2 linked regions of the Tribolium castaneum genome follow. The protein of the gene in region 2 interacts with the protein of the main gene of each other region in a pairwise test. Links are inferred from orthologs where the notes say so. Each region holds a gene or a part of one and is shown on either strand. Other genes may lie near its edges.

The links.
Region 1: the proteins of Rel (region 2) and akirin interact in binary tests that used the Drosophila melanogaster proteins (3 or more experiments, as listed by UniProt). The link is inferred for Tribolium castaneum from reciprocal best matches to the Drosophila melanogaster genes Rel and akirin.

Annotation. Positions count from the first base shown.
Region 1 is NC_087398.1:5,660,892-5,666,210, forward strand, and holds the start of akirin (akirin), read right to left. Parts: upstream 3,417-5,319; 5' UTR 3,172-3,416; coding exon 2,979-3,171; intron 1-2,978. Other genes in the region: ankyrin-3, read right to left, coding at 4,568-5,319. UniProt on the Drosophila melanogaster protein: Molecular adapter that acts as a bridge between a variety of multiprotein complexes, and which is required for embryonic development and for normal innate immune response.
Region 2 is NC_087400.1:6,385,931-6,390,313, forward strand, and holds the end of Rel (nuclear factor NF-kappa-B p110 subunit), read right to left. Parts: coding exon 4,185-4,383; intron 2,296-4,184; coding exon 2,128-2,295; intron 2,075-2,127; coding exon 1,758-2,074; intron 1,710-1,757; coding exon 1,432-1,709; intron 1,382-1,431; coding exon 1,082-1,381; intron 1,033-1,081; coding exon 928-1,032; 3' UTR 836-927; downstream 1-835. Other genes in the region: aldehyde dehydrogenase 1A1, read right to left, coding at 10-111, 166-270, 316-351. UniProt on the Drosophila melanogaster protein: Transcription factor that plays a key role in the humoral immune response as part of the peptidoglycan recognition protein (IMD) signaling pathway.

The DNA of each region.
Region 1 (5,319 bases), on a different chromosome or scaffold from region 2:
AGACTGACAAGTACATTTTTTAAATTCGGGTTCAAAATTCTCACTGTTGAAATTTTAAACTGAAAAGACTTGGGTCGACACTTGAAACCCAAATTATACAATCCAGGTTATTCAAGAGAAAAGTACTAATTATACCCGTCGTTAATTATGTATGTAAAATAATGCGGGGCATCTTTTTCTTTATTCAAATTTAAACTTGCGACTTGAGTCAAGTACGTATCTACAATTCAAAAGGCAACACTTTCTTATGCAACATTTCACCACGGTGGATGTATTCAAATATTTATTAGATAAACAAAACATTTTCCTTCATCAATTTCAATTTAGAATAGCGGATTCACGTCGAGTTTTATTAATGAAAATGTAAATTTAAATATCGGATGTACCGTTCAAATTTCTTCTGGAGTGTGCATTTGGACTACATCCGAGTGAAAAGTTTCCAAATAACTGAACTTGTTTTTCGAGTCGATGCATTTTAGCTGGTAATTTATGATTGCAGATGCCTGGACGCGGTGACACTTTTGCCGGATTTACATACATTTTAACGTATTAGCATCGCCTGTTTCGTGTTATTAGACACATAAATTTCAACAACAAAGCAACATTTTATGCTTATGACCCACCAGTCACGCAGTGGCACATTTAATTCAATTTACAAAGCCGTAAAATTTTCAGAAAAAACCCTAGAGACACAGCCACAACGTCACTATCCGCGAATCTAGACACAGGTGTCCTTCTAAGTCGGGATGAGCTTTTACCCATCTCTTATCCCTTTACGACCAACTACCATTACCAAGTGCTTCGAAAAATTACCAGATTACGGGCAGTAAAAGCATCCTAAACCCAAACTCTCAAATAATGCTGATAAGATAAATGGGAATATTTTTCCAGGAAGTCAGATTTCGGACAAAACATCGAAATCATTGGTCTTTAAATCCAAACAAAACTGTATATGTATTTAATTTTAAAATTTACTAAATTATTACTTATATTTCGTACTATTATTTAAATTTTAAATAAATAAAACAACAAAATGTGTGTTTACAATGGATTTATTTCAACCGTAGCAACTGATATAAAATATAAAGTTCGAAATCCAGTACAATTTAGAAAACAACAAATAGTTTTTTTGAATTTTAAACAATTGTTAGGTTTATGCTCAGCCTAAGACATTATCATACATTCAAAAAACAATATATTAATTAATTACAAAAAAAAACAAGAAAACCATTCCATAACACATTGATTTTCAAACAGCACCTTTATACCTGCGACTTAATATTTTCACAGAAAAGGTCTTTGACATCTCTTTCGTAGTAATGCTTCCTAATAAGCTGACTTTAAGTAGTATAATTCTTGTAAATTTTTACGTTCCCTCCAAAAATGATTCAATTTAAAACTGGTGTTTTCCCCTATCCCCTTATTTTCATATTATGTTCAGATACTTACGCATACACAAAACAATTAACGTATTGTTTATTTGTTTAATCTTTCTTGGCACAAATTATTTTATAACAGTTCAACAACAAAAAAGGTAAATGAATGATGACAATGAAAATACTAATCAAATCGATTAATGTTTCTAATAAAATTATTGTTGTATTTACTTTTGTTTTATTACTAGATTATTTTACCATCCTATATAAAAAATCGAAAAATTGTACGCATCAGCATTTAATAAAGATAATAACTAAATCAGAATCATACTAACAAAAGTGTTAACACAATTTATAACTTCATTTATATGTGATTCAAACAAGATGATAGAAAAATTTAATTTGTAACTGTGTTACAAATTAAATTTTGTTCAAGCATGTCTGAAACGAGCTTTACGAGCTGATACAAAATATGAGGTCAATATATTTTGTTTTCAAGAGAACATGTATAAGCTTTAATGACTTCATTAAAAAAGCTTTTAAGCACGCTCTAACATAAAACAGGTAATGAAAATAAATTTTATTAAAAAAATGGTACAACATTCTTTCTACAGAGACTTTTTTTAACTCTAAAAATAGTCACCATGTTACCAATAATACGAAAAATAATAATTATTTGATGTCAAGTTGTTTGAAGTTTATTTTAGTGAAAAGATAATCCTTTGTAATCCGGCATTTCCCCTAAAAAAATATAAATTGCTTTTGCTTTGAAAAGAACCGAATTGTTATTTGTTTCTTGCCAGTGGTGGCGCAACTCCTGGGGGTAGGAGGTAGTGAATCAAAAAAATACGTTCGTCAAAAAAAAACTAAAACTATGCAAAAATAAAGGTTAATAAATGTCCAGTGTTTAAAAATAATCAGTTTTTAAAGATACTAATCTTAACTGAGGGCTGAAAAGATAATCCTTTGTGATCTGGCATTTCTCTTAAAAAAATATACTCGTACCACCAATTTCGTTATTTAGTGAAATTTGTCGGCTCAAAAAAAGTGGAAATAGAATGACAAAAAAATACGTGCGTTTTTAACGTGGCTCACAATCTAGGAAGTCATGTTGGTACAAGCTCAACTTAAGTTTTATCTTCAAGCTTCTAAATATCACAATAAAATCTTAAGTATCTTTCATTATTACAGTTAGCTATGAAAAAATTATGACTCAAATCATGGAAGATTTATGTATTCCTCGATCGGTCATGAAATTTCCCATAAAACTCTAATCGAATCCAGGCATCCAAAGCGTGAGAGCCTGTAAGCCCCAATTATAAAATTTAATGTCCTCGCTCCCCTCCGCTCCAAAATCAATATACCCGCACCCAGATTTGGTTAAATCGGCAAAAATAACCTAAAAACGTTGAGATAACACGAGCGGATAACCTCAATTTCTAAAATCACGATGCTCCAACGAATTCGAGCAAGATAAGCAATTAACACGGAATTAAAATCGGTCCTGTAAAAAGTCCCTCGGACGTCATTCCTTTATCGGCGATCAGCTGAGACCGAGTGTCAACAACCGCAAAGGCCCTTAGGCCGGCCCTGTCCACTTACCAGGGGTCAATTTTTGGCTGACGACATCGGGAAAGACGGACTTGGGCTTGGGGGAGGAGGAGGTGGCCGGAGGCGAAGCCCTGTCTCTGTGCGTGGGGCTCTCGCAGAAGGGAATGCAGCGCCTGCGTTTGGCCGGACGGCCCCCCAGCACGGGCTCCCAATCCAAGGAACGTTTCAGAGTAGCGCACGCCATTTTTAGTTCTGTCGCTAACACTTCACACACAAAACAAACTTTGTTTCACAGGCTATCGCGAATTTGCTATGTACAAAACCGAAATTGCACTTGGACACTTATGCAGCGGTACTTTTACCCCGAAACTTGTCCATGAAAGGGGAATGGTCGACGATTTCATGCGCACCCAACGACCAATATGGCGAAACGAAATAAGAGAAGTGACATTTTGTGAACGGCAGAGTGGGCTGTGATGAATATACGGTTACCATTGGCTTGCGCGACTCTGCGCATGCTTTGTACCCTGGCGACATCTCCCGGGACCAAAGATCTTCGCGTTTTTTCAAAATTAATTGGGCTAATTTAAAGGCAATTACGCAAATTTCCGTCTAACAACGGCTAAAACGAATGTATCATGAAATCGCTTGCTACCTTATGCCATTTTTAGGCACGTTACTGTTGCTTTTGCTTTGAAAAGAACCGAATTGTTACTTGTTTCTTGCCAGTGGTGGCGCAACACCTGGGGGTAGGGGGTAGTGAATCAAAAAAGTGCGTTCGGCAAAAAAAAAACTATGCAAAAATAAAGTCCAGTGTTTAAAAATAATCAGTTTTTAAAGATACTAATCTTAACTGAGGGCTGAAAGAAAGCAAATCCGTGTAATATAGACATTTTTTTATTAAATACTTTTTATCCAAATATGATACCAATATGCCTCAACAATAAAATCACATAATCTTAAATCTTAACATAAAATATACTATCCAATTTATATATTATACTTAGCTCTTAATAATATTTGGCATATATATTAAAATGTACAGAGCTGATATTTTGTATAGCATAGGACTTTGCCAGATTCCTACAACAAACCAAGCTAAATATTATTGTCAAAGAAAAACCGGTGACGGAACCAAAAACCGTTCGCACACGTCTGTGTGCAGTGTGTTTCAAACGTAAGAGGCACGGAATAAACAACAATGTGAGTGGTTCATTTAAAAACTGTCTAATCTGCACAAAACCCTGTTCAACACGAACACAGCTCAAAAGCGTATTAAGATATCATAAGTCGTAGTTCTACAACATCCTTGCTTTTAGTCGACCCCATTGTACCGTTCAACTGAACACTTACGATTACTAGAATTTAGAAATTTTAACAAGAAATCACAAGTATATTATCTCCCTTAAAAACTAGCAACGGCTGAAGCGCGTCCAGGATTTTTTAACATATCACAGCTAGCGCCAGAAACAAGTCAAACAATGATACGTTTTGATAATTGACTTGCGACGAGTATTTTCATGATTTCGAGCGAGAAAGAAACAATATTCAACACTGGGCTAAGGGTCACATTTAGACATCGCCACTTAATTCTAAACCGATATTAGAAGAAATCCTGAACGACTTCGAGTCACCTTGATCTACGGTTCAAAGTTCAACAAATAATCTTTCAGCTGATTGGGCAGATTCAGTTTGTTAATGTAGAGTCCCGGTCTGCGCCCGAGACAGTTGTGTATTTTAACGCGGCAGATCTGTTTCAGACTTCTTGGTCTTTTGTATAAATCTCTAATAATACAGGTCAACGGCTCAGTCATTTTCCCCGGTACCAAACTCAACTGCTGAGTGTGCAAAATCTTCAGACATTCGAATAGCGGCTTGTGTTGCATTATAAAATAAAATAACATGATTATTTTCGAAAAGCTCATGTTCGGGTCCATTATGAGATTCTCTTTACGCGATATAAGCATTATGTAATAGTACAAGATGTAGTTTTTCGTCTTCCAAATGGATTGGAGGTGCAACGGATGGTTCTTTATTGCTTCGGACATGTTCAAGCTCAGGTCGGGATTCGCCCCGTATTGTACCAAAGTAAGCGTAAGGTCGTAGACGTAGTGGATATCCTTCGAGTCGCGCACGTTCTGTATCATGTCCATGCACGACTGCAGAATGTGCTGCGTCCGCATGCTAACTCTAACGTTCGGATCGAGACCGTGAATCAACAAAAGGACCAACAAATTCTTGATGAATTCGAAATTGAGCTCTTTCTGAACGTCGCAGTTCAACGTTATGTTCTCCGACACGGTGAAAACTAAAACGTGGAGAGGCGTCAAGTTGGCCCTGTAGCTGCAGTTGGGGTTGGCGCCCTCTTTCAGCAAAATCCTGATGCAGTTTA
Region 2 (4,383 bases):
TTTAGCAACCTTGATTATGAGTTTGCCTCGGGTTGAGGCATCCATTTTGCGCCATGGGGCGCCTCTGGAAAAGGCTGCTTTAGCCGCTTGGACCGCCTTGTCAATGTCTTCCTGGAATTAGTACGAAAAACGTCCGATTTAGCGAAAAATTTCGACTTAATATACCTTGTCCCCCTCGGAAATGTCGATGATTTTGGCCCCATTTGTGGGGTTCAGAGTTGGGAAGGTTTTTTTACTCACAGAGTCCACAAATTCGTTGTTTATAAACAACTGAAACGGACGAAATAAGTCCAGTTAATTGTAATTGATTTTTACCTTTGTGTATTTAATTAAAGACGCTGCGGAAGCCATGTTTCAACGTGGCAATTTTTTATGTAATTGTTGTTTTCTTAAGGAATTAGATAGATATCTAATCACTGCTTTGACCTCTGATCTCCAAAATTAACCGTAATTTACAATTTCCCCGGTAGATGTCTCAATTTTTGTCGATTTTTTGAGCCCAACATGTGTTCGCTATCCGCTATGATCGAATACTTAGTCTTATTAGGCAATTGTTTTAATAACCCATTGTAATCAAAAATTAAACTTTTTCACTTTTTATCCACTTTCAAACCAACAAAAAACACTTTAAAATCACGAAAAACCACAGTATTTACCACCACACTTTTAGACTGACTGACTCTAATGTAAGAAATTAACAGTATACACGTAGAATTGGTAAATAATGAGTAATTACGAAAACTTCGTTACTGTTTTCGGCAAGTACGATATACCGCCTCCAGAGGGCGTCTAGTTAATTTTATTTCCGAGGGGTTTCCGAGTCAAGTGCACTCGATTGTGGAACAATACCTTTATTACAAATTTCTCTAACATAAAAATGAACGAAATTAATACAAAGACATGATCAAACTAAACTAATAGTAGAAACTAACAAAACTGCGTCCTGACCATATTGTCAATAATTTCAACCGCCCGCGTCTCGTCCAAATTCTCCAGGAAGTCCCTAATTTGCAAGACACTGTCGCCATTGGTCTGCAACAAAAACCCTAAATTCCCAACCAAATTGCGCAACCCCACAAACCTCAATCGCCACCTTTAGTAACAACTTCGTGGGGCTGTTTTTCGAATCACAGAGTCCTGAACGTGTCAAATGCCCCAAATCGAGCAAATCGGCCAAATTCTGCCACGTTTGGGACTCATCTAAAATGCGCGAGATCTCCTCCAAACACTCGGGGGTGAAATTTGTTACTTTAGCGTACATTTGGTGCAAGTCTTCGGTGGAAATTTGCTCCAATTTCACCGAGTATTTCTCCTCAATTTCCTCGTCGGAATATTCCTCGATTTCGTTCTTAATTTCCACATCAACGTAGTTATTTTTGCGCTACAGTTACAATTAAAATACAAACAAAAAATACAAAAAAAGGACAATACCATAAATTCGGTAATTAGATCAATCAGTTCCGAATTATCCTTTTTCATGGCCGCCTGTAACGGGTTAATGTCCTTGAAATCCTCAATCATCGGATTGAGCTTCTCGTGTTGCAAAATATATCGAACTAAATCAAGATTTTGTTTCTCGATGGCAAACCTGAGAGGTGTATAACCGTTCTTTTTGTGTTGCTTATTAATATCAGCACCGTGAATCAACAGTAATTTTAAGGCCCGCATGTTGGAATTCTCGATCGCCAAATTAAGCGCAGTGTTGCCCTCTAGAACCACAAGTCACAAAAACGTAAACGCAACAAAACAAAAATTACCATTATTTTCATTATCTATGAATTTTTTGACGTGATCGCCCGATAGTAACTTCTCAAAAATGGGCGTGGGTGCGTTAGTTATGACAGCGAGATGTAGAGCAGTGTTCATGTCGGAATCACCGATTGAAGCGTCCGCTTTACACACGATTAAGTTCGAAACAATTTCCTCCAAATGCATACAAGTGGCGATGTGAAGAGCGGTCTCGCACTGGTCGTTGTAAATGTTGGTTAAATGGTACTGTTTCCAAACGTACACCATTTTGAGTAAAAATATCACGTCGGCTTGCTTATTCTGCTTGATGGAAACATGCAAGGCACTAAAATTTTTAATTGAATTAAGTAAATAGTTTCAAACCGGTTAAATTATTACTTGGTTTTATCTTCAGTCATTAAGTAATGGCGCAACATACTGATGGCTTTTTCGTCACTAGGTTTTGTTTTAATGAAGTTTTGTAACTCCATGACTGCCTGTTTGGCCATTACTATGTCCTCGCTGTTGTCCGCTCTTTGGTAGTTTGATTTTGACGATTTCATCGATCTATTAGATAAAATTCGGATAAGCGATTTCAGTTAAAACCTTTGCGCTCTCTGGTGGTCAATTATAAAATTTAAATACAGATTTATAGCCAGATCCGATTCACAAAAATTACGCTAAAACTCGTAGTTATTTACACCAAGATAGGGCACTTTCCCTCAATAAATAAATATAAAAAATAAATAATACGATAAATCTTGTTTCTACAGGTTTTTCAGTATGTAAGTGATAAAATTAATTCGTGCTTCTGTAGTTTATATTAATTAGTGAATCATCAACTATTTTGAAAATATGATCATTTTTAAAGAATATTTTTTTTCGAAATTCCTGCTAGTTTTTGAATTATTCTTTTTTTTAATGGCACTCTATGACAATTTTTTGGTAAAAGATTATAATTAGTAATAAGAAAAAACGTTAATTTTCTAATTCCCTATTGAATGGTATAAAAATAAACAGGGATTGCCATTTGAAATAACCAAAATAAAAGGCTGTAATCTTTAAGATGTTTGAAAATAAATTGTAAACACCCTGTAATAATTAGATTAATCACACTTAATTAATTACGTCTGTTAGACCTTGTTCAAGACGTACGTACTAATAATGTGACCGAGAAAACACCGTTTGTATTTTTTATTAATTTTTAAAAATAAAGGTGTAAAACTGATTTTTTTTGGTTTTTATTTTTTTTAACAGTAATCCCTGAACCAATTTCAAAAAAAACTTTGGGGACATGTAGAAGCTAAAAAGGCATCCTAATGAGCATAATAAATATTAATATTATTATGACATCATACATTTTTTTTTCAAGACACTGTATAATCAAAAATATTTCCTATTAATAGTGACAATAAAATAATAAAAATAAAGACACAAATTCTTTTTTTCTCAAGTCAATCTAGATGACATTGATTTGAACACACAAAAGGAAAATATCAAATAGCACAGCAAATACGTAGTCCTCTTTTTAATTATTTAAATTTAAAAATGGTCACTTCAAAACTGGGAGAAACGTTATTATGTAAAAATATTTGAAACATTTTCATCGTATTTGGTTTATGACATTTCGCTTTAAGTGACACAAAAATACTTTTTCTATTTCTATTTCTATTTTTCTATCGCAATTTTTATTAAACCATTTAACACAAAATTTATATTTTTTCAAAATGAAATGAGAAATAATAATAAACAATGTATGTTACAGTGAAAGTGTAATAATAAAAAAGAATTATGTATTTTTTCATTAGAGAAAATGTAGTAAGCAAACCCAGAGGGCTTTCAAGATGATTACTTTCATTTATATTTAAAATAAGTTCAACATTAAAATTATTTTGGTAGTCTCTTTCCTAGATTTTTGAAAAAAAAAATAAATGCTCGTTTTCTGAGCTGGTTTCAATATTTTACATTTAAATTTTTGTGAAATACCAATAATGAAACAAAAATTAGTTCGATTGTTACTTCCGTCCTACATACGTTTTTTTTTAAATTAACTACAAATTAACGTTTGAAAATTAAATGTAAAATAAATATTTGTTCTTATCTAACTAGAAGTACTTAGTTTTTGGCGGGCGATAAAACTTAGTATGCCATTAGAATGTAAAAAATTTAGCGACTTCACTGACATTTCAGTTGTGTTCAGATTGTGGTAAGGAAATTAAAATCATGAAAAATATATAAAATGATAACCGCTAATTGTTTTTATTCATGATAAGGTACCAAAATTAAAAACTTAATGACAGGTAAATTATATGGTCAAGTTTCTATCCTGACTAGTATTATAGTCATGTTGTAGTCTCTTACCAATGTTTTGATGCAATATTTTCGCAAAAAATCGTTACCAGAGGGCGCAAAGTAGCTCAAAAATCTCATAAAAAAACAAAGTATACAATCCTGACCTATTCTTGTTACCCCCCTTGGGGGCATTTTTTTTGGGATACTGCGAGGGTGCATCCACCACCAATGAATAGTCTTGTCCAAACTCATTGAACAATCGACGAAACTCCTCCGAATCAATGTTAGTCATCGCTTGTTGTAGGTCATCACTGGTAACTTCTAACTGAACATCATCAAGCAAACCTGGCGTGTTATCGATAC